Linked DNA regions of Struthio camelus. The main gene of each other region encodes a partner of the protein of the gene in region 2 in a complex. Links are inferred from orthologs where the notes say so. Each region holds a gene or a part of one and is shown on either strand. Other genes may lie near its edges.

Region 1 (11,888 bases), on a different chromosome or scaffold from region 2:
AGGGGGAGATGGAGCGGAGGGGCGACCCAGCATACACCCGGGGTGGGGGGGCTGGCCAACGGGGCATCGGCGTGCGGCCGGGCCGCGGCGGCGAGGGCTGACGCCCTCCGTCCCTCCTCTGCTCCCGCAGACGTCGACGGCGCGTGTGACTCGTGCGGGGGGCTGCTGGTCCCCGTCCTCCGGCCGCCCGCCGGCCCCCCCGCCGCCGCCGCCTGCGATGCCGCCCGCCCCCGGGACCGCGGCTCCCTCTTCGCCCGCTTCTCCCTGCCGCTGCCCGCCGAGGCCAAGGGCTCCGCCGGCGCCGGCTCGGCGGGCGCCCGGGGCTCGGGGACGCCCCTGAAGGACAACCAGATCCTGAACCTGCCGCGGCGGAGGCCGGTGGCGCCGGAGGGGCTGCGGGGCGGCTGCGGCGGGGCGGCCGAGGCCCTGGGGCGCCTGGCTTGCCCCAAGCCCTGCCGCCCCTTCCCGGGGCCGGGGCGCCGGCGGCAGCCGCCCCGCGACCTGCAGAGCCGCCGGTGTTTCAGCTGCAAGTACTGCGAGAAGGCGTACGGCAGCCTGGGCGCCCTGAAGATGCACATCCGCACGCACACGCTGCCCTGCGTCTGCAAGATCTGCGGCAAAGCCTTCTCCCGGCCCTGGCTGCTCCAGGGGCACATCCGCACCCACACAGGTAGGGATGCGCCCGCCGCGGCCGAGGGCTCGGGGGCGGCGGGGCCCGCCGGCGGCTCTGCGCGATGCAAAAGCGCCATCCTGGGGGTTCGGCATCGCTCCTTCGTCGGGAGGGACCTGCCTGGGGTGGGTGCAGGTGGGGGTCCTGTGCCGGGTCTGGCCAGGGTGCAGGCTGGGCCCAAGGGCAGCGCTGCCCTGCTGTGCTGGAGACCCTGGAGGGCTTCCCACTTCCCTGTCTTCCACGCCAGGCCACAGCATGCCCCTGTGCCTCAGTTTCCCCTCTGTAATTAGGCCGTGGAGGCCAAGCAGAGCCTGCGAAGTGCCTCAGATGCATAAAGCCCTGCCGGCGCAGGTGTCCTAGCTCCAGAGCAAGGCTGGGATGCCCGGAGGCAGGCGCACCCCGAGAGCGGAGGGGAGTGCCCGGGCTGGGAGCAGGCGCGACGCGGGCTGGGGCTGTGCACATGTGATGCAGGTCGGGGCTGTGCACGTGCAGTGCGGGTTAGTGCTGTGCACACGCGGTGCAGGTCCGGGCTGTGCATGCACAGTGCAGGTTGGGGCTGTGCACACGTGATGCGGGTCAGGGCTGTGCACATGTGATGGAGGTCGGGGCTGTGCACATGTGATGGAGGTCGGGGCTGTGCACACGCGGTGCAGGTCGGGGCTGTGCACATGTGATGGAGGTCGGGGCTGTGCACACGCGGTGCAGGTCGGGGCTGTGCACATGTGATGGAGGTCGGGGCTGTGCACACGCAATGCGAGTCGGGGCCGAGCACACATGATGCAGGTCAGGGCTGTGCACATGCAACGCGGATCAGGGCTGTGCATACATGATACGGGTCGAGGCTGCTCACACGCGATGCAGGCTGGGGCTGTGCACACACCATGTGGGTCAGGGCTGCGCGCACACGACGCAGGTCACCGCGGAGGGGACGCGCCACGGTCCGGGCCGTGGCCAGAGGTCACCAGCCTCAGCCGGCCAAGCAGAGGGGTTTTGGGGGGGGGGGGGCAGAGCCGCCCTATGAGCCCGATCTCCGGGTTGGGGTGTCCCGCAGGAGAGAAGCCCTACGCCTGCCCCCACTGCAGCCGGGCCTTCGCCGACCGCTCCAACCTGCGCGCCCACCTCCAGACCCACTCCGACGTCAAGAAGTACCAGTGCCGCGCCTGCTCCAAGACCTTCTCCCGCATGTCGCTGCTGGCCCGGCACGAGGACGGCGGGTGCTGTGCCGCGTCCTGAGCCGCCGCCGCACGCCTGCCCGCACCGTGCCCCGAGGAGGGACGCGGGAGCAGCCGGACGGGGGCCCCGCGGGTCCGAGCCGGCCGCCGAAGCCCCGCGGCTGCCTCCCCGCCGCTGGCCGGCCGCGGCACCGTCTTGGCTGCGGAGCTTCGTGCCGGGCCGGGCTGGAGGACGCAGCGCCCGAGCCCCTTGCCGCCCGCGCTGCCGGCTGCGAGGTCTCCGGGGCCGCCGCCGGCGCCGCCTCGGCTTCCTAGACGTTGAATTGCAGAAGTAATTAAAAGCGGAGCCGAACGCTGTGGACCTGAGCCCAGAGACGGTCCCTTATTGCCCGGCGCTGGGAGCATCCCCGGGGCTGAGATCCTCGTGCCCTGCCAGCCCCGGCGGGCTGAGCCGGCGCTCGACGGCTCGGCCCGGCTCGGCTGGGCATCTCGGGGGGCCCGGGGGCATTGCCGGCTCTGGAGAGACGGTCCGGCTTGGCCAAGGGCGGCGGGGACGCCGGGGGACCGTGCCCCGCGCCGGCAGCAGCGCCAGCGCCCCACCGGCGCACCCTCCGGTTGCCTTTCGGTGGCAAGCGGGGTGCCAACCCCGGTGCTGCCGCCGGTCCTAAAAATAGCAGCAGGGGATATTGGGTTTTTGCTGAGCGCGGGATGTAACCCGAGCGGCCCGCGGGCCGGTGAGCGGCTCGGCCCCGGCCCCCGCTCGCTCGCTTGCCCCCGCCGCCGCCACCGCCTGCCCCGGCTTTCCTCGCTGGGCGGCCGGGGACGGCCACCGAGCGGGACGAGCTCCCGCGGCCGGGAGCCCCGCGGCGGCGCGCACGCCGCATCCCGGCTAAGCTGCTCCCCCCCCACCACGTCACCTCCACCGGCCCGGCCGAAAGCGCCCGGGAGCGCGGCGCTAATAGCGATGTTTGGGGCAGCGCCGGTGGTTGGTTTGGGGGGGGGGGGCTTCTCGGCCGGCTTATAAATAGCGGCAGATGCCGAAAGGAAGCTGTATTGTAAACTCGGCTCTATTTGCGGCTCTGCCCGGCTAAATGCGGCTTCGCACCTGTCCCGGGCGGCCGGGGGGAAAGAATCCGCAGCGCCAAAATAGCCCGCGTGTTTTCCCCTCGCCTCCCGCCCATGGAAAAAGCCTATAAATATCCCGGGGTGGTGGTGGGTTGGGGTGGGGGGGGGACGCGGAGGGGCCGGGCACGGTGCCCCGCGCCCCCGGCAAGCGCCGCTGCCCGGCGCGGCTCCGGCGGAGGTTCCCGCGCCGCGGTGCCCCCGGGGCTATTTTGGGCGGCGCGGGGGGCTCTGTGGGTCGCCGGGGGCCAGGCGTGCGCGTCCCCCCCCTCCCCAGCACGACGAGCTGCGGAATATTTTCCGCTGCGAGTGACCGGTGCATAAAAATACGCCGGGGCGCGTGCCCTGGGCGGCCGGCGGCCGCGGCCCCGCGCGGGGTGTCCCCGGGCTGGGGGAAGCCCTGGAGCGTGGGCACGGGGCACTGGGGACAATGGGAGCACTGGGGGCACTGGGAACACTGGGGGCACTGGGGAAAGTCGGGGCACTGGGGGCACTGGGAACACTGGGGGCACTGGGGAAAGTGGGGGCACTGCGGGCAATGGGGGCACTGAGGGCAATAGGGGCAATGGGGAAAGTGGGGGCACTGGGAACACTGGGAGCACTGGGGAAAGTGGGGGCACTGGGAACACTGGGGGCACTGGGGACAATGGGGACAATGGGGGCAAGGGGAAAAGTGGGGGCACTGGGAACACTGGGAGCACTGGGGAAAGTGGGGGCACTAGGGGCACTGGGGGCACTGAGGGCACTGAGGGCAATGGGGGCAAGGGGAAAAGTGGGGGCACTGGGAACACTGGGGGCACTGGGGAAAGTGAGGGCACTAGGGGCAATGGAGGCACTGGGGGCAATGGGGGCACTGGGGGCAAGGGGAGAGGTGGGGGCACTGGGAGCACTGGGGGAACTGGGGGCAATGGGGGCACTGGGGGAAGTGGGGGCACTGGGAACACTGGGCGCAGTGGGTACTGGGAGCATTGGGAACAGTGGGAGCACTGGGGGCAGTAGGTAGTGGGAGCAATGGAGGCATTGGGGGATACTGGGGGCAGTGGATACTGGGAGCACTGGGGGCACCGGGTATTGGGATCACAGGGGGTACTGAGCCCTGGGAGGGCTGGGGGAACTGGAGGCCATAGGGGAACCCTGGGCACTGGGAGCACTGGGAGCACTGGGATTGGCTCACGCCCCCCCACCCCCCACGGTGTCACGGCGGGCAGGGGCGGCGCATGCGCAGTGCCGCGCTCCGGGCACGGACATGGCGCCGCGCGCGCCCCGCGGCCTCGCTCCCCCTCCGCCTTGCGCGCGGCCCAAAGCCCTCCGGCGGGGGAAACCGGGGCGGCCCTGACGTTCCGGGCGGGGGACTGCGGGGCGTGGCCAGCGCCCGTGGTCCGATCGAGGCTATTGGGCGCCCGGGGCCGGCCGCGGTGGCGCCAGCCAATGGGGTGACGGCAGCTCGCTACAGTGTTGCGCGGCGCCGGCACGTGGGTGGTCCGAGGCCGGGAGCGGGGCTGGCCCGGCCCGATCCTGCCCCGTCGGTGCGGGGGTGCTGGGGCTGCTCGGGGGCCGGGTCTTGCTTGGGGGCCAAGCCGAGCGCTTGCCCGGGGCTTTGCACCCAGCCTGGGTTGGTGCTGCCGGGGCTCGGGTCGTGTCCCCGAGCTGAGTGCGTGGCCGGGGACGGGTCGCCACCATGTCCGAGGACAAGGCTCTCACCATGGTCACCTGCACGGCCCCTGTCAACATAGCTGTCATCAAGTACTGTGAGTACCCGAGCGTCCCGCCCCCCGGCGCGGACCCCTCCTTGCCCCGGGGGCCGGGGCAGAGCTGCCTGCAGGGCCCCGAGCACGGCGGGGCTCAGCACCGGGGCGAGCACGGGGGCTGCCCCTCGCTGTGGGGCGATGCAGAAACCGCAGCGGGTTGTGTCATCCCAGAAGGGCCCCCGGGACCCGTCGGTCCCCTGGGCTGTCCCCAGGGCTGTGACTCTCCAGGGTTTCCCCCTCCCCTAAATCCCTGGGGAACCCCCCCCCCCCGAGCTGGGACCCCTGAGGAGGTGGGCACGTCCATGGGGCGGCTGCCTGGATGGGCTCGAGGACGGCAGGAGCAAAGCCCTTGCCGGTGGGCTCCCATCGCTCCCCTGCAGCGGGCTCCAGCGAGCCCCAAAGGCGCCGGCTTGCGCCAGCCTTCACCGAGGAGGGCGAGAGGCCGTGCCGTGCCGTGCCGTGCCAGCCCCGTGGCAGCCGGTTCGGCCCGGAGCGGGAGGGCACGAGCAGCACGGGCTGGCACCAGGCCCCCACGCGCACCCCACCCGCGCGTCTCTTGCAGGGGGCAAGCGGGACAGCGACCTGATCCTGCCCATCAACTCCTCGCTGAGCGTGACGCTGCACCAGGACCAGGTTGGCACGGCGAGGTGGGGGGCCTGGCTCAGAGCAGGGGTCCTTCTTGGCGGGCAGAAGCCGGGTGCAGGAGCTCACACGGCACCAGGGACGTGGCGCTCGCAGGGAACGGGGGCTCGTTTGCTGCCGGGGCCGGGGGCGGCTGGCTGGGCGGTCGGACTCGCCGCGCCGTGGCCCAGCCTGACAGCCTTTGGCGCTGCCCGGAGCTGCGGGAAGGTGTGGGATTTTGGCGTTCAGCCCCCGTTTTGCCTGCCTCTCCTGGCCTTTCTGCCTTCCCCGCCTCATCCTTGGGTGCGCGACGCCGCCCTGCGGCCGGGCGACTCTGGGTTTGCAGGACGGGCCGCTGGCGCCCTTGGGGGGCTGCGGGCTGCCCCAGCCCCTCCCTGCGCCTGCTCAGCGTCCTTTGCCCCCCGGCCAGCTGAAGACCACCACCACCGCTGCCATCAGCCGGGACTTCAAGGAGGACCGGCTGTGGCTGAACGGGGAGGAGGCTGACGTGGGGCACCCCCGGCTGCAGTCCTGCCTGCGGGAAGGTGAGTGCCCTCCCGTGCCTCGGTTTCCCCAGGGAAAGGGGGCAGACCCTGCCCCGTGAGCAGGCTGGGAGGGGAGAGCGACGGTGCCCAGGCGCGGCACCGTACAAACCTGCCTCGCCGTCCCCGTCCCTCCCCGTTCCCGAGGCCTAAACCCCCCCCCCACGACGACTTCTGTGCCATCTCAGTGCGGCGCCTGGCCCGGAAGCGCCGTGGCGGTGACACCGCCGAGGACACGGCCCCGCTCAGCCTGGCCTACAAGATCCACATCGCCACGGCGAACGACTTCCCCACGGCAGCCGGCCTGGCGTCGTCGGCAGCCGGCTACGCCTGCCTGGGTGAGCGCGCGCCGGCGCCGGGGTGCGGGTCGGGTCGGGCCGGGCCGGGCCGGCAGGCGGCCCCGGGGCGCTGGGGCTGACGCGCGGCCGTGCCCGCAGTGTACGCCCTGGCTCAGCTGTACGGCGTGGAGGGCGAGCTCTCGGAGGTGGCACGCCAGGGCTCGGGCAGCGCCTGCCGCAGCATGTTCGGGGGCTTCGTGCAGTGGCACAAGGGCGAGCGGCCGGACGGGAAGGACAGCGTGGCGCAGCAAGTGGCACCCGAGACGCACTGGCCGGAGCTCAGGATCCTCGTGCTGGTGGTGAGGGGCTGGGGAGGCGGGCTGTCCCCGTGCCCACCTTCGCGGGGCTCGTCGTGGTTTGGAGAGAGGGTGCTGAGAACACCCCAGCCCCGGCCCCCGGGGTGCCTGCTCCCCCTGCAGACCCTGCGCGAGGCTGGGGGCAGCCGCCAGCGCGGTGCCGGGGTCTGGGATCCCCGTGGTGGGGATTGGGGCTGGGGGCTCAGGGTGCCGCGTGTCCCACCGCCTGCCCCCCATGCGCCAGGTCAGCGCGGAGAAGAAGCAGGTGGGCAGCACCGCGGGGATGCAGACCAGCGTGGACACCAGCCCCTTGCTCAAGGTAGGGGGCCGGGATGCCAGGGCCCGTCCTGCCCCCCGGGGCAGCTCCCTGCATCCCGGTCCTGTGGTGGGTTGGGGTCACGTCTCCCTTGGGTGGTATTTTTAATTCTTGCTGGGGGGCTGGCGTGGATGGAGGGCACTGCCCTGGGCAGAGGGGGGGCCGTGGGGCTCAGCGTGGCGCCTCGGCCTCGGCAGTGCCCTTGGATCCAACCCTGGGAGGGAGCAGGGTGCAACCCGCTGCCGTGGCCCTAGTGCAGCCGAGGGGGCGATGGGCTGAGAACAGCCCCGAAACCGGGGACGGGGGGCGGCGGCTGGCGCCACGGCTGACCCCGGCCCGCGTGTCGCCGCAGCACCGCGCGGAGGCCCTGGTGCCGGAGCGCATCGCCCGCATGGCACAGCACATCCGCGAGCGGGACTTCGAGGCCTTCGGCCAGCTCACCATGCGGGACAGCAACCAGTTCCACGCCACCTGCCTCGACACCTTCCCCCCCATCTTCTACCTCGACGACGTCTCGCGCCGCCTCATCGCCCTGGCCCACCGCTACAACGCCCACCACGGCCGCACCAAGGTAGGAGGTGGCCGGCACGGGCCGGCGCCAGGGCTCCCCCCCGCCCCGTGGCGCTGGTGCCCACCCTCCCGCCCCTTGCAGGTGGCCTACACTTTTGACGCCGGCCCCAACGCTGTGATCTTCACGCTGGCCGACACCGTGGCGGAGTTCGTGGAGGTGGTGAAACGCAGCTTCCCTCCGGCGCCCAACGGGGACCAGTAAGTGCTGTCGGGGCTCCCGGTGAGGCTGGGGGAGAGCTGGGGTCCCAGGGGCTGGGGGCTGCGAGCCCTGCCCGCCGTGGGTCACCCCGGGGCCCCCGTGCTGGGGGACGGGTGCTGCGGCGTGGGGCTGAGCGCTCGGCCGTGCCGGCAGGTTCCTGCAAGGGCTGCCGGTGGGCTCGGCCTCGCCGGCGGAGGAGCTGCTCACGGCCGTGGTCCAGGAGCCGGTGCCGGGGGCCCTTCGGTACATCCTGCACACCAAGGTACGCGGGGGGCCGGGTAGGCCAGGGGGCCCCGTCCCCATCCCCAGGGGTGGTCCCGCAGTGCCGGCCCAGGCTGGGCTGCCGAACGGGGTGGCCTTTTTGGGGACAGGATTCCCAGGTGCCGTCCCCGGGGCTGGCTGTCCCACGGCCTGGAGCGGGGATCCCCGGCGGGAACAGCCCCGGCTCCCCACTAACACCTCTCCTTGCCCCCAGCCCGGCCCCGGACCCCAGCTCCTGGACGACCCCAGCCAGCACCTCCTGGGGGCCGACGGGCTGCCCCGAGGCAGCGCCTGAGCCCCCCGCCGTGGGGCCGCGTTCGTGGTGACGCCGCGCCGGATGGCCGCGCCGGACGGCAGTTTGGGGGGGTCCGGCCGTGCCCATAGCCCCTCCAGGGAGACGGGGCAAGGACGGAGCTTGGCCGCGCGCTGCCCCTTGGGCTTGGTGCCCTGTGACCTGCTGCAAAGCCCCCTCCCCCGGGGCAGGATGTGCCCCCCCCCCCCCCGGGCCTGGTTTTTACTCTTTTGTGAACAAATAGAGGTTTTTCCCATCTGCAGCCGTGTTTCGGGGTGTACTGGTGCGGTCGCGGGAGAGCCGAGGGGGCCGTGGGGCTGCCCCGTCCCCCCCCCCCCGGCGCGTTCCTCCACTGCCCCGTGGGGGGGCGGGGCCGGGGGCGGGGCGTCGCGGAGGGGGCGGGGCGGGGCAGCCGCTCGGCTACATTGTAGCGCGCCGCTTCCGCCGCGGCCGAGCCGAGCCGAGCGGGGCCAGGCCGGGCCGAACCGGGCCGAACCGGGCCATGGGGCAGATCGAGTGGGCCATGTGGGCTAACGAGCAGGCGCTGGCGGCCGGGCTCAGTGAGTGTGCGGGGCGGGGGGGGGCCGGGGCCAGGCCCGGGTTGCCCGGCGTGGGGAGGGGGCTCCGGGGCTCCCTGCCGGCCCCGGCCCTCGCCGGGGGCGTGAGCGCTTGGGCCCTTGCTCCGCTGGAGCCTCCAGCGGCTGCTGACGGCTTGAGGAAGCCCCCAGCCCTCCCGCCCGTGGGGTCGCCGGGCTGGAGCCTCTCTCTTTCCCCTCCAGCCCGTTGCGCTCAGTTGTCGTAACTGAACCCCGTGGAGAAGTCAGTCGCCCTGGGTGGGCCTTGGGGGTGGAAGGCGCTGAGGAAGCGCAGGGGCCGCCAAGCCGCGTCCCTCCGAGCCGCCTTCGCCCTCTGCTTGGGGGACGAGTCACCGCCTGGGAGCCCGACGGGCAGGAGGGCGGCGGGATGGGGCGGCCTTGGCACGGGGAGCGTCGCCGCCTTCGCTCCGTGCTCCCTGGCCCAGGCGGGCGGCTTCCTCCTTGCCGCGGGGGCCGAGCTGCCGGCGTCACCCAGCCCAGGAAACGGGCACCCTGCTCCGTCTGGGTCTCGGGGTGCATCTGTCGTCCGCCAGCCCTCGTCCTTCGGCTGCGTCGGGCAGCCGGGCGAGCGGGGTAGGGCACGGCCTCGTGGCCGAGGGGAAGCTGTCAGTATGCGAAAGCGGGGACGTGCGGGGCCTGCCTGCCTCCGCGCTGGCCCCGCGGCGCCAGTGCTGCTCCCTTGGCGCCGGCCGTGGCGTGACCAAGGGGTGCTGGGTCCCATGAGGCTGGCGGGGTTTTCCAGGGCGGTGCAAGCAGGAGGTGTGATGCTGCCCAGGACGGCCTGGGAAAGTCCCATCCAGCCTGGGGATTAGCAGGACTAGAGCCTCCTCTTCCTCCTCTTTCCGGGCGTCCTGTCTGTACAAGGCAGCTGGGAGTGGAGCAAAGCTCATGGGCGGAGGTGTGCAGTCGCCGGGGAAAAAAAAAAACCTCTCCCCAGAGTCCTGCAATTCCCCTCGCTCAAACCAGAGGGGGTCCGGCATGGCAGAGGTCCCCGGGGCAGGGCCCTGCTGGGCCACAGGACGTAGCCTGCCTGGCTGACCCTGCTGTGTCCCCGCAGTTATGTTGACCGGAGGGATCGTGGCCGTGGCAGGGCAGTTCAAGGGCTGGTATTTCGCGGCGTACGCCATGTATCCTTCCGGAGGTGATGCTGAGGACCGGCCGGGCTGTTTGCAGGGGAGCCAGACAGGGATGAGTTGCTGGAGCATAGCAAGTAGCCTTTACTTTCACTTTCTTTTCCCAAGTTCCTCTTCTTTACAAGTTTCTTTTCCAAAATCACCATTTTCTTGTCCCAAATGGCTCTTTTCCTGCAGGTCCTGAAAGTGCATCATGACCTTCACGTTTCTGCAAAACTTCCCTGGGAGGCTGGGGGTGCTGGCCCCATTACCTGGGGATGATGAGGGTGGGGGTGGGGGGTGCTGGTCCACTCTCTGCTGCCCCTGCATGGCTTTGTCCCTGTGTCACGCACCCTGCTCCAGCCCTCCCCCCCCACCCCGCTTTTTCCAGTGATGGTGATGCCCCTAATCGTGGCCTGCAGACCCTGAGCATCCCTTTCCTTGACGCTGCCCCCACCTCAGCGCAGCAGGCGTCTTCGTCTGCCTACTCGAATACCCCAGGAGCAAGCGGAAAAAGGGCTCCACCATGGAGAGATGGTAGGTGCTGCCCCCCTGGCACTGGGAATTTGGGGTCCTGGTAAAAGGCCCCCACAGCATCAGAGGGTGCACGGTCAGGAGAGGGGCATGGAGATGGCTGGGAACAGCTTCTTCCAGGCTTTCTGACCTGGGCAATTTGCTGACATGAGCAGGGCCAGATCCTGCAGGCAGGTTTCCTGGGGTGCTGGTATCAATGGGGGGTGCAGGAGGGCAGCTATGAGGGAGCATGGGGATGGGTCAATGCGAGAGGGAGGTCCTGGGAGGGGGTCTCTCAGCGCTGAGTGCCGGCCTGACCCCTCTGTGTCACTCTATCTTCCCGTACAGTGGCCAGAAGTACATGACGGCTGTGGTGAAGGTGTTCGGGCCCCTCACAAGGAATTACTACATCCGGGCCATCCTACACGCCGCGTAAGTGGGCCGAGGGGTCTGTGTGGGCCCCGGGCTGCGGGTGCAGCCCCCGCCTCCCCGACCGGCCAGCCGGCCGTGCGGTGCCCCGCTGAGCGCCGTCTCTCCCCATGCAGGCTGGCCGTCCCCGCCGGCTTCCTCCTCTCCACCATCCTGGGCACCGTCTGCCTGGGCATTGCGAGCGGCATCTACTTGCTGGTGAGTGCTGGGCTGGTGGTGGCTGGCCAGCATCCTCTGTCCGTCTGTCCATCCATCCCGGCCAGCATCCTCTGTCCGTCCTGGCCTGTCCCCCACTTGCTTTTCCTGGCTGAGTCTTGGGGTGGGGAGGGGATGCACAGCGTGGCGGTTGGGGCAGAAGCCCCCCCCCCGGCAGGATGCCTGGGTCCCGCTGAGCTCTGTGCCACCCACTTGGCTGTCCGGGCTTTGCGCTGAGGAGTCATTTTTGGTGGGGGGGGGGGAGGGCAGTTCTATGCTGAGAGCTGTTCTGGGGGGCTGGCCGTGGGCGAGGGGCTGGGTGGGGGCACGTGCTCCCCTCCTCACAGCCTCGGTGGCTTTGCAGGCGGCGGTGCGTGGTGAGGAGTGGAGGCCCATCGAGCAGAAGCCCCGGGAGCGGCCGCACGTGGGTGACACCATCAAGCAGCCACCCACCAACCCGCCGCCCCGGCCCCCCGCCGACGCACGCAAGAAGCCGCCGGCGGAAGCAGGAGGCCAGGTGAACCCCATCGCCGTCGAGGCCGAGTGAGGCCAGGCCGTCCCGCCGCGCTGGCTGCGCTGCTCGTGCACCGCTTCCCCCCTGCGCCCCTGGGGGACGCCAGGCTGCCCGGCCCCTGCGGGACCCCCCCCAATCTCTGGGGGTGCCCAGCTCCCCTGGGGGGCACGCAGCCCTGTAGGGGCTGCGGGGAGCACGCAGCTCTGCTCGCTGCGCTGCCTCTCCCCTTTTTTTATCGCCTCCTTTTGTGGTTGCTGTTGCAATAAAACGAATGAACTTCCCCCCCCTGCTCCCCGCCGCTGCGCCTAGCTCAGCTCTGCTGGGGGTTGTAGGGCACGAGGGTGCCAGTGCTCAGTGCGACTGCTGGTAGGGGAGGGGACTC
Region 2 (11,604 bases):
CAACACAGCTAAACTGATTTGTCAAAAGGGGAGGTCCCATCTTATCTCTTGGGCTAGCACCCATGTGACTCTGTAACAAGCCAGAACAAGGAGTTAAAACTATTCACTCTTCCCCTCCTCCAAAAAAGTTAACTTGTCATTTCAGCTCCCTGGGCCATCTCATCAGTTAGATCGATTTGAATGCTTTGTTAAATTGCACTCTTAACACTACAAAGCAGGCTACACTGGTCTACCTTATAAAAGACTAATGTAAAACCACCAAAGTACCAAGAGGAGCAAAGGCCAGCTTCTTCGGAGCCCTCCGGAGGCTCTGATGCTTCCAGAACCTGTTTGGTCTGAGCCTTCATCTTCCAGTTAAGATCATTACAGATAATTTAATCATCTAACAAATCTGTGTTGAACTAACACTTTCAGCAGTGGATCAAGAACTCCTCTACATTCATGCTCCCTTGCTCACCTTGCACTGAAACTGGTGAGTCTGCTCTGGCTAATCAGAACAGTCCAGGAAGGAGGTGGTGAAAGATTTCATCCCGAACACCAGAGTGCCTGTAGCGCGGTGCTGCAGCACCAACCAGGCAGAGTCGTTGAAACAAGAAAACACACGCCCAGCAACCCTGCTTCGGACTTGTTCCGTTCTAGGTTTCCTGCTTTCCTCGCCTTTTGGCTCACTGCCTTACGAATCAGATTTGCATGGTCACCAAATCTTTAAAAATGAACACTAACACCTACCTTTACAAAGTAGATCCTCCAAGTACTTTATTAACTTTTTTTTTTTTTTAAAGGCATCTAGCTTCTGTATTAAAACAACTCCCCGAGGATTCTGATTGTTTGGCAAAGTATAAATCCCTGTACATGAAGGCTGGAGACTGAGAAACTAAAATATCACCAACTCAGAATTAGTCATAACAGAATTTCTAGCAACTACTTAATCACAGCTCTGTCCACCCACTATTACATCAAATGAAACTAGCAACATTTGACTGGAATTAAAACATGGCCTAGAGAAATCTGCAGTGTTTTAACCACTTAACAATAAGTGAAAATCTTATAAAAGACAGCAGTGAGTCCCTCGTTGTTTCCTGGTGCCATCCAGGAATTAATCTATTTATAAAACCACATACGTATCAATTTCTGAAACAAAATATGTCATCTCTTTCCTGGCCTTATTTACACTAATAAGTTTGAGGAAGTTTCCCACTGTGTTAGAGCTGCTGGGAGCAGCGTTACAGGACATGCAGTAAAAATGCTGTCAGACAACCTGCCATCCTAAAGGCTCTGGAGCTGCACAGATGGTTGAGAGGCTCCTGCTACCCCACAGCTGAAAACCACTTGTGAGAACTGAGCTCCAACTCGCAACCACAGAAACGGATGCCAGCTGAAGAACTTGCTTTTTTAATTCCCTAAATGTTGATATCAGCAAACAGGTGGCAGCCTTCACAGAAAGCTTTGATGTGTCCATTCTTTCTTTCTCTGATCCACATGAACTAGCACCCTGGCAAACACTGCGTACAGCCCGGGTCTTCACTCAGACTTTAAACAGTGGACGAGACTTCTTCAGCACGCTCATCAGATCAAAGGTTAAGTAAGTATTTTTGCTATGGTGGTTTTAGTTATACACTACTCTTCAAGATAAACCATTTTACTCACTGTGACACTCCTCTCCCAAATACACTATTCAGTATCTACAGTACTATGTCTTCTATCTTGGACAGCATAGTAAGAGTTGCTTCCAAATTTCAAGTCACTGCACTCTCTACAGACTGCACTGGAGAGATCTCAAGTGTTCAGCATCTTACACAAATACTGCACTGCACTCAACAAAAAGCCAATTATCCTCCCCCTCTTCTTGAGGGGCTATCAAATCAAATATAGCATGGCTTTAGCAAACAAGGCCACAAATTAGGTAAAATTTCAAACAGGGACCATTTCTGGGGCATCTAGTTATCATTTCTGCAACATGCAAGACTTCCCCTAACATGACAAGGCATCCCCTGAGATGCCATACCACTGAACAGCTGCTTTTTTAAAGTTAGCAGCTTTTGCTTCCATTCTAAAAATAACTTACACCAATGTTTTTTCTTAAGTCTCAATCAACAGCAATTCTTGTAGAGTTATTCAAGTGGAGGGCTGTTCAGATGTCCTGCACACTCTTACTTGTCTGTATCAAGAAGCCAAAGCAACAGTTGCCATCTATTTTTCCCCAAACAATTCTCACAGTGAGGAAGCAAACCAGGGCAAAATAGGATAGCACAACTAGCACATATGCCATGCTTTGAGCCAAACTACATGTCTAAACTGATACTGGTCAAAGCCCTGGAAAACAAACATGAGATACTTATCAGAAACAGCCTGCCCATTTACAATTTCAAAAAATTGTCACACAGGTACTTCTATAGCCTTGTTTATTTTGTTCCTAGCAGATCTTTGTAAAACAGTACCTGAGTTTTACATTATGTAAGCAATCGTTAACTTGTATTGTTTTCCAGAAACACTAAAGCTTTAGCCTTATCTAAGCCAAACATTACACCTTTTCTAGAATACTGGTAAAGCTTGAACTTCTGAAGCAGCAGAACAGGGAAGCAAATGATTGAATATAAAAAGCTCAATGGAAGACCATAAAAAGTTACCAAAAACAAGCAATGATATCTCAGTAGCATCTTGAAAGAGATTTGTTTCTAACTGAGAAAGAAGGAAAGCAAGTTAGAATGACTGCATTTTATTCACACATATGTATAAAACTCAGGTAGAATTACACCATTTTCATTACCAAGACAAAGAGCAATAAGTTTGGAAGCGGGGTGGTATTTACAAAGCAAATGATGAGTAAAACTGTTTTATTGAATGAATTACTGTACATCATATAGTTTTTCTATGCTGAGTTCTCAAATCTATTAGAGGAAGTAGATAAACTTTTTCCCCACCCAAGCATGATGCATTGCATTTATTTACATCATTCAGTCACAGACAATGTTGTTCACTTGAATGAAAAAAAATCTGAGATGACAGGAAAATAAAATAGTTAAAAAACAGTGTAACCAAAATAACATAGCTATATCGTGTATCAATGAATGACATTACTATAGAAAGTCTTCATTTGTCAGGATTTCACTGTCACATCCTCATTGCTCAGCATCTTACAAAGAAAAGTCAAAACATTTTTTTTAGGCTGAATATATTTATCTTTCAATCACAGTAAGCTATCTTTTTAGGGAGTCTATATCTTCGAAGCCAAGTAACTTAAAGATTAAGCCACCATGTGAAATTACACAGGCAGTGGCAAGACCATTTAGCTACACTTACATTTCACTGTCATCTACACAAGTTTGCTGTGATACCAATTATGCTCAGACTACACTGGGATTTTTGTTTCTACTAAAGAAAAAAAAAAACTCTCAAACTGCATAAGACTAGTCTTGTTTTCCAGCTGGCCTATGATGCTCCCCTGAGCTCTGACATCCAGCAAGAAAAAGAATGCCTCTGAGCTGATGGGGATAGCTTGGTGGAGAACATTCACAAGCAGCAAACACACAAACTCCTTCTCCACCACAATTTCAGCGTTCTTTAGATCCAAACCCAGCAGCTAAACGCAGACTTAATCTGATTGTAAAAAGCATTCTCAGGTTGTTTCGGTTGTAAGTAATACCATATCAGAACACCATAGGTGTAACAGAGCCTTACAGACAAGTATTTTTGTACTGCAATCGCTTTATCTGTCTCCTTCACAGAGGAACCGTACAGGCCTAGGTGTAAGCGTGCAAAACACAAGTCTCTGCCCACCAGCATTTACGACCCGCGTCGAGCTTAGCGCGTTTCCCCCAGCCCTACTACAAGAACGCGATGTCAAAAACCAAGCTACAAGCAGCAACAAGAGAAACTTTTCCCGGAGTTACTTTCAGTAAAGGCGTTTCAAACCAGCACCAGATTTCCCCTGTCACTAAGGGCATCGTAAAACGATTGGTAACGCGCTAGGGCTACCCCGGTGCGCCTGAGACCTCGGAGAGCGGCCGGAGGAGGACGCGGAGCCGGGCGAGGCGGCCGGCCCGCACCGAGGCGCGCCTAGGGCGGCCGCTTCTGCCCGCACGAGCCGGGCGGCTCACCCGCCGCCCGCGCACCTTCTCCCGGGCGGGCTCGGGTGCGGAGCCGGCGCTGCAGGCCCCCCGCGCTTGTTACGCCCCCGCGGAAGCCTCCCTCTCCCCCTCCTCGGCAGCCACCATTCGCTGCCCGCCCGCCCCGCCGGGCCCCGCGCTCCCGCCCCCGCCCCCAGCAGGAAGCCGCCGCCCGCCCCCTCAGCGCGGACGCCCACACGGGCCCGGGCAGCCCCCGCGCCCTGCGCAGCGGTTGGGCCGCGCCCCAGCCCCGCAGCCAGACCGGACCGGACCGGACCGGACCGGGCCGCCGCCCCCACCCCACCCCACCCCACCCCACCCCACTCCACCCACCTCCCCTCAGGCCGCCGAGCCGCGCGGCGCCTCGCACTCACCCGTCGCCCACCACCACACACTTGATGGCCTGCATCGGGGTTGCGCCGCCGCGGGGGCTGCTCGGGCCGGGGCCGCGCGAGAAGGGAGCCGGCGGCGGTCTGCGCACCGGGTCGCGGCCGCCTCCGCGCTGTGCCTGGCAGCGGGGGACGAGGCAGCGGCCACCACCCAAGGCGGCGAGAGGGGCGGGCTGCAGTGGAACAGGAAACCGCTCCAGTCACATCCGGCTCGGCCCCGCCGCTCCGTCTCCCGGGCCCCAACTCGGCGAGGCCCCGCCCGCCCCCGGAGCCGCTTCGTGCCTCTCCGGCCAGGCGGCGGCGCCGCTTCGGAGCGCTTCGGCAGCGCTCGGGTGTTTCCGCCGCACCGCCCGGGCTTCGGAGTGCTTCGGCAGCGCTCGGGTGTTTCCGCCGCACCGCCCCGGCTTCGGAGTGCTTCGGCAGCACTCGGGTGTTTCCGCCGCGTCGCGCCCTGGGGGCTTGGGCAGGGCTCGGCTGCGCCGTGCGTGTGCTGCCGACCCAGTGCGGGAGCGCGGAGCCGCCTGGCCCGCCGCCGCGGGAGCGCGCAGGCCCCCAGGGTCATCCTTTTGGGTTCTTTTAATCAGAAATGTGGTGTGATGCGCTGGCTCTGCTGAGCGCAGCCCAGCCGTCAGGCGTCGCGGTGCGGCGGCCGGGCCCGGCGGAGGCGCGCAGGCCGCAGCAGGGCGGCCATGTCGCGGCGGCAGCCCGCCGGGGCGCATCGGCCTGGCGCTGTCGCCGGCGCCGTCACGTCGGGGCGAAGCGCTCTCGAACCCAGAGCTGGCTCCCGGCACCCCTTTGGGGTGCTGCGGCTCGGTCCTGACCCAGCCTGGCGCAATCCGAGCGCCCACGTGGCGCCTCGCGCCTCGCGAGGCCTGCGAAGGTGGGATGGCGTTTGCCCCTGCAGACCGTGTGAGGGACATTATGTCTTTCCTTGACACAATGCGCCAAAGTACAGGTTTGCCGTGCGGATGTAACTCCGTGAGGTTCCCGGCGTGCGGCTGTGGGCCGCTCCCGGTGTTGGCCAGCCGGCCGTGGGCGGTGGGACTGCGCGTCACACCGCGAGCCAGCGCAGGGCTGTCAGGACGTTCTCGTCCTCAAGGGAGCCCTGTGCCGCCCTCCTCCTCCTCACGTGCTACAGCCTTCATGAACTCTGCCGGCAAGTTTTAGAGCAGGCCGGCACAGGCAGTCTGCGCGAGAGGGGCGGTGAGGGCTCACGGAGAGACGTGCCCGCCGCCACGGCCCGCTGCGACCTCCCCCGAGCGCTGCCCGGGAGGTCGCTGCCGTTGGGCTTGTGGCACCGCGCACGTCTCCAAGTTACTTCTTCCATGGTCTTCCAGCCACAGCTTGCCACCCCACACAACGTGGCACAACACCGAGAGATGTGACGCGCGGTGATATGTGTATTTCTGCTTAGTTATTCTTAACGGTTTTGAACTCCAAAGGTGTTAAGAAAAATAAAGATTAGCACCACAGTATTTTCTATTATTTTGGCTTGTATTTTATGAACCAGCTTTGCAGGGTCAAAGCAAGAGGCATATAAATTATAAATATATCCACCCAGGAATAATATTAGTGTTAACACTTATTCATTTCTGGGATGCTTTAGATTTCATTGCTTTGGAGCTCTCTTTTCCACAAGAAAACAGATATTTTTATGAATTACTGAAGTGACAGGCGTGCTCTAGCATGTAAGTAAATACTTATGTACTGGAACACATAGGTTAATAGAATAATTTAAAAGTCAAGCAGAGCAGGTCCAATGATCTCCGGAGTTATTTCATTTCTTCCATTTGTTCTCGCGGTGATTCTGCTCGCAGAGAAGCTTCTCATTGGACTGCTCTTCTCTTTGTCTACATTGCCAGCCATTCCTCAAAGAAAGCGTGAGGAAAAGGCCCATACACATGCTGCCTCTGCCAGGGGCTGATGAATCCAGTGAAATCAGTATAAAGGACTATACCACCCTGGAAGTTTTTCCAGTGATTTGATCTCATACTACTTCCTGAACATTTCTAAGCAAATATGATAACAGTACAGTGCAACCTCACTGGTGGACAGGGCATTCCATGATACTTACTCTTTTTGTTCTTTTGCTGAGCAAAGAAAATTCTCATATATTTCACTTCAGTCAGGAAAACATCATAAAGATCACTGTAACCTGAAAAGCTCTTGCAACACTTTTTTTTGGAACACTTGCATGTCCCTATCCCCTCATACAGATGGAAGTTGAAATGGCTGTTGTCATTTAAGCTAAATATCCTTAAAACCAACACTCTGCTGCTAGCGATGACCTGGCAACCGTTCCCTACCCAGCAGCCGGGAGCTGCGGGAGAGAGGTGTGGGCAGTATCACAGTGCTCTTGCTGTTCTTGGCTGCTGCAACGCTTTTGGAGCTTCTGAGATGCTGCATAGAAACAGAGCAGACATGAAGCCTGTCTAATTTATGCCATGGGCCTGGGGAGACACAGAACACAGGAAGATTCAAGGGACACGTAAAACTACTTTCAATTTTCCCACCACCTACATATTCTTCTGCAGGTTCTTACATTATCCAGTGTTATCAGACGGATTATGGGGTTTTTTAATGTGAAAAAGAGATACAACAAAATTTACAATATTAAAACATGCAGTATTCTTCTGTGGTTTATACTTCATAAATAATAATAACTACAACACGTTTTTGCGATGTTCAACTTTGGCTTTGATTTTGCCTTTAGTTAAATGGTAATTTAACTGTATTTTTTGCTGCGGTTATAGAAACCGACTGTCATTTAAAAATACAAAATGACTTTAACAGCATAAAAATACTGTAATGGAGAAAAGGTTATGATGGAAAAAAACATTTACGTTAGCACAAATTGTTTTCACGATCCTGTCATGAGACAAGCAATATCTTTTTACGTATGTTCTTTTCAGTGCTCCTCCATCTGATTCTTTTGGGATCAATTGTTTTGCATTGATAAAAAATAACTTAGAACACAATATGCTTTGATTATTTTAATTGAGTATATAAAGACTAACATTATAAAATATCTACATAAATATTCACTGTTAGTCACTAAAAACAATACTACAAATTTGATATATGATGATGATAACTGTAATAGATGCACCCAGTTTTGTTTCCATGTGTTTGCAAATCTTTTGGAATAGTTCAAAACTTTGCATTTGGAATCCTAGCTGATACCTTTGTTAAGGTAACTATTCTTAGATGCTCTGCAAGACAAACTGGTAGTTGTGTGTACTTTGAGTATATTATGCATTAATTATTTGTTTGTTAATTAATTTTAGTATAGTTCAGCTTCTTCTTTTTTATACTACTTCTTTTTTGCTAACTATTATGTAGTATACTTGGTTTTAAAGAGAAACAAATAACTTAGATGGTGCTACAAATGTGTAACGCTCTGCAGACATGTTTTTTTCCCTGAGACTGCAAGAAGAAATGGTCACAGGGAACACGTAAAACATTAAGTTTGTCAGAAGATAAGGAACTTAGAGAATAGTTTGAAAGGCAGGGCAAAGGAGTGAGCAGTTAAAGCCAAACAATTTCATAGAGAAATAGCTGGTTGATAGATGTGATTGCACTGCTGAGTAGTGTACAGAATACAGTTAAAAATGCAGTGCAGAGAGGAGTATGTAAAAAGAAAACATGAATGGTAGTAACTGTAAGCAACCTTTGCATAATTCTGATAAGGTCATGAATCATAAACTTGAGGCTTAGATCAGTCCTAATTTTGATCTATAATCTATCACCCTACCTTCACTTATCTATTGCAATTTTTGATATTTTTTTTTCTTAGACATTGAGAGGAAATAATTATTTAATATTGTCTCAGATACTGCCTGCATGTGAGTATTGTGTATGTGCTGGCACTGAAGGAGGTTATGTTCCTTTTTGGGTGGGGAGTGGCAGGATAATCACACTGATGCAATACTGGAAAGTTTTACTCACCATGACATAGACTATCAGGATTACAGAGACAATAATAATTCGCAATTTTATAGCATCTCCCAGCCCAAACTATTACTGTATTCTTTCACGTGTTAGCTAATAAAGCCACCCACAAATCACTGAGATGTAGAGATACAAAGTAGTATGCCTGTTGTACATAGGGGGAAACATATCAGTGAAAAAAAAAACAGAACACCTAAGCGTGATTCAGAGATCTGTTCTCTTAATCTCAGATGACACTTCCTGCTGCCAGCAGCGCTGTTCAATTGCTTTCAGCAAACAGTGTGTTACAGTATCTAAGTCGAAAGCAAAAGCCTATCTTTGTTGATAGTGTAAAAACTGTTTTGGGGTGAAAAGCTGTAATCATAGTTCACAGCTACTTGAAATTAAGGATTGGGCTGAAGAAATGCAGGAGCAAATTTTGCACAAACCAAAGGTGAATCATGAATCATGTCAGAGGGCAGAATAAAGTTTATAGCCTATGTACTCTTAAACCTTCGGATATTCGTAATAAAAATAGAAGCAGACAACAAAACTTAGAAGTATTTCTCTTATTGGAGAAGAACAGGATTTCCAAATGCTTTTTCATCCTATGATAGCTAGAAGAATTGTCTTACTTAAAAAATGTACTTGCGACTTGATGTTATGCTCATTTGAGTTGGTGGTAAAAGGCACATGATTACTAATGTAATACCGGGGCTATAGTAATTGGTGGAAAGAAACATGCAAGCACAGCACTGAGCACCAGAAATTCCTTCCTGGATTCCAGGTCCCTCTGTGACATCATGTGCCGTTGTGGCCTGTCAGTCACTGAGCCCCCCAGCTTCCTCATGTTTTAATCAGCATAATACTCATTCACTTTGTTTTGATAGTAGTTAACACTTACGGGTCTGCACGTAATACAGTCTGCTGGAGTTCTGCAGTTTTGTAAACTGCATATCTTTGAATTCTTTAGTTATGTATTTTAGTCAAACTAATAGCGCTCTTGGTTTGATTTAGCAAAGTGACGCTATCTCTCATTGTGGAGGAAATTCAGAGTATCTTCACTGAAGTTGGGGAGTTAGAGTGACAAAAAAATCATGTTAGAAAAGAATATAATGCACAAACAATGGTCTACAACTTTAGATATTCTAGGCAGACGTTTTCGGCATGGTTAGTTTCCAGAATCTTTGAAAAAAGACCTGTACCAGCATGTGATATGTGCACTGTTCAAATATAGTACGCAGTCTGCTCTAGAGGAACCAAAGCCAACAGTAAAAAAGGAACCACAACTTTTAAATGTCAGCATGTGCTGCATTAGAGAGAAGAGATTAAAGGAATATGCAAATAAAATGCTAGCATAAAAATGTCTAAATTAGCAATGAAGCATTGTAAAATAAATGCATCACATTCATGTGATGTTAGCATAGATGGTTTAGCTGGTATACATACATACACAAAAGAAACAAGTCATTGATTTTCTTTGGGTAGCTTCTGATAAACATCTATTCTGTGAAGAATGTCAGTTATAACAACCACATAAAACTTTGCATTCATTTGTGTCTGCCTGTCCTCAGGTTTAGCCAGCAGTAACTAACTGACAGAGTGCTTACTGTAGAGAGCTGGTGTTGAAGACAGTGGGACTATACAGTATTCACTGTATATGGCTGTAAGCTTTTTGGAATAGGGACATTTTGATATATTTGTAAACAAGGAACTGAAACTTCTCTGTGTTACTTCTCTTTTTTATCACTGTAATTCTCTCAGTAGAAATAAGGGAATAAGCCTTTTGCCAGCTGTAAGCATCTCATCATGTCCTGAGGTGACAGACTGCCGAAGCGCAGAGACGTGTAAGGAACAGATTCCCCTCAGCTTTTACCTATCTTGAGTCCAGCGTTTCACAGAAGTGGGCTTTAAAATGCTAAAGGGAAGGATAAAGAAAGGTTTAACTATTACATAAGCCCATTCAGTATTGCTGGTTTTACTGCCTTCCACTGGCCGATCATTTTTCAACGTAGTTATGTGAATAAAGACCCAAGGCTACACACTTGGACCTGGCAACCTGATTTGTTTTGAAATATTGAGTAGGTTTTGGACTTGCTTATGGACTTAACAGAACCAGGACCTGAAATGGACCGAGTCTTCTGTGGTCAGTTTGACGGGGGATAGGTGGAGCGATGGGAAGCCTAGTTCCCTCTTTCCCAGCTATAACTTGTGTACCAGCTAACAACCTCTCTTGAACTGGAAGGCAAGACAACAAACAGACATAGCTTCAAAAACCACATTAGATCAAACCCAGAAATTAAATTCAATGATTGCTCATGTAACATGATGAGGATTCAGAACATAAATGTACATTTATTACAGAAATAAGACAACTGTCAAAAAGTGATTATATATTCTGGAATCTATTCCTCCTTGGAAGTGCTTGTAGAAAATTAAGAAGAACTTATGAGAGAAATAAATAGCACAAATAACAATAAACTAGCTTAACTTAGCGTAAGCAGAATACAGAGCTTATATGAACAACTTCATTTTTTTAAATTATTTTATGCTGATAAGCTGCTACGTAACTATTTCTGATAAGATGAATACTTAAAAAAAGAAGCTATTTGATTTATTCTCCAGTTCCTAAATATAAAGATTATAAAACCGTTCTCTTTGCAAAACAGTGGTGACATGCAGTTTAATGATGACATAGGTTAATCACCTTCTTTATATTTTACCAAGAGATGCAATTCGGTGACTAGTATTTTAGCTTACTTTCGGCAGCTAGATATTCTGATTTAAATGATAGACTCTGCTTTTATTAAGCTGATGAAAAATATCTCTTCAAATGTGATCTTGCATCTTGTTAATATTGAATATGTTGAAGTATTAACACTATTGAGGGCAAGCTTTATACAACACTAAATGCGCTATAATACAATAGCTTCTGCAAGAGTTGTTCATATTATCAGTAGCTTAAAATGTATCTAACTATAACTTGACAGCACTGTGTTGCTAGAAACCACATCTGTGTTTTACACTTCATTTTCTGAAAGATTTTGGAGAGAGGGACAATAAGGCCCCTGAAGGATGCCTGGGATTCCAAGACAGACCGCTCTTGGGGAAGGAAAATACAATGTCAGCAGACAGGCTGCCATAGCTGGTGACAAGTTTCCTTCAGTCCTAAAAAAAAA

Evidence for each region.
Region 1: RAC1 (region 2) and CYBA share a complex: the UniProt entries of both Homo sapiens proteins name them as parts of the phagocyte NADPH oxidase complex. The link is inferred for Struthio camelus from reciprocal best matches to the Homo sapiens genes RAC1 and CYBA.

Annotation. Positions count from the first base shown.
Region 1 is NC_090951.1:2,452,566-2,464,453, forward strand, and holds CYBA (cytochrome b-245 light chain), read left to right. Parts: upstream 1-8,527; 5' UTR 8,528-8,649; coding exon 8,650-8,707; intron 8,708-8,978; exon of another isoform or gene 8,979-9,631; coding exon of another isoform or gene 9,632-9,641; intron 9,642-9,800; coding exon 9,801-9,870; intron 9,871-10,317; coding exon 10,318-10,392; intron 10,393-10,716; coding exon 10,717-10,800; intron 10,801-10,913; coding exon 10,914-10,995; intron 10,996-11,356; coding exon 11,357-11,539; 3' UTR 11,540-11,787; downstream 11,788-11,888. Other genes in the region: zinc finger protein SNAI3, read left to right, coding at 131-670, 1,722-1,903; MVD (diphosphomevalonate decarboxylase), read left to right, coding at 4,643-4,712, 5,275-5,345, 5,764-5,878, 6,064-6,213, 6,313-6,512, 6,754-6,828, 7,178-7,396, 7,478-7,593 and 2 more. UniProt on the Homo sapiens protein: Subunit of NADPH oxidase complexes that is required for the NADPH oxidase activity that generates, in various cell types, superoxide from molecular oxygen utilizing NADPH as an electron donor.
Region 2 is NC_090956.1:9,197,534-9,209,137, reverse strand, and holds the start of RAC1 (ras-related C3 botulinum toxin substrate 1), read right to left. Parts: upstream 4,904-11,604; 5' UTR 4,516-4,903; coding exon 4,481-4,515; intron 1-4,480. UniProt on the Homo sapiens protein: Plasma membrane-associated small GTPase which cycles between active GTP-bound and inactive GDP-bound states.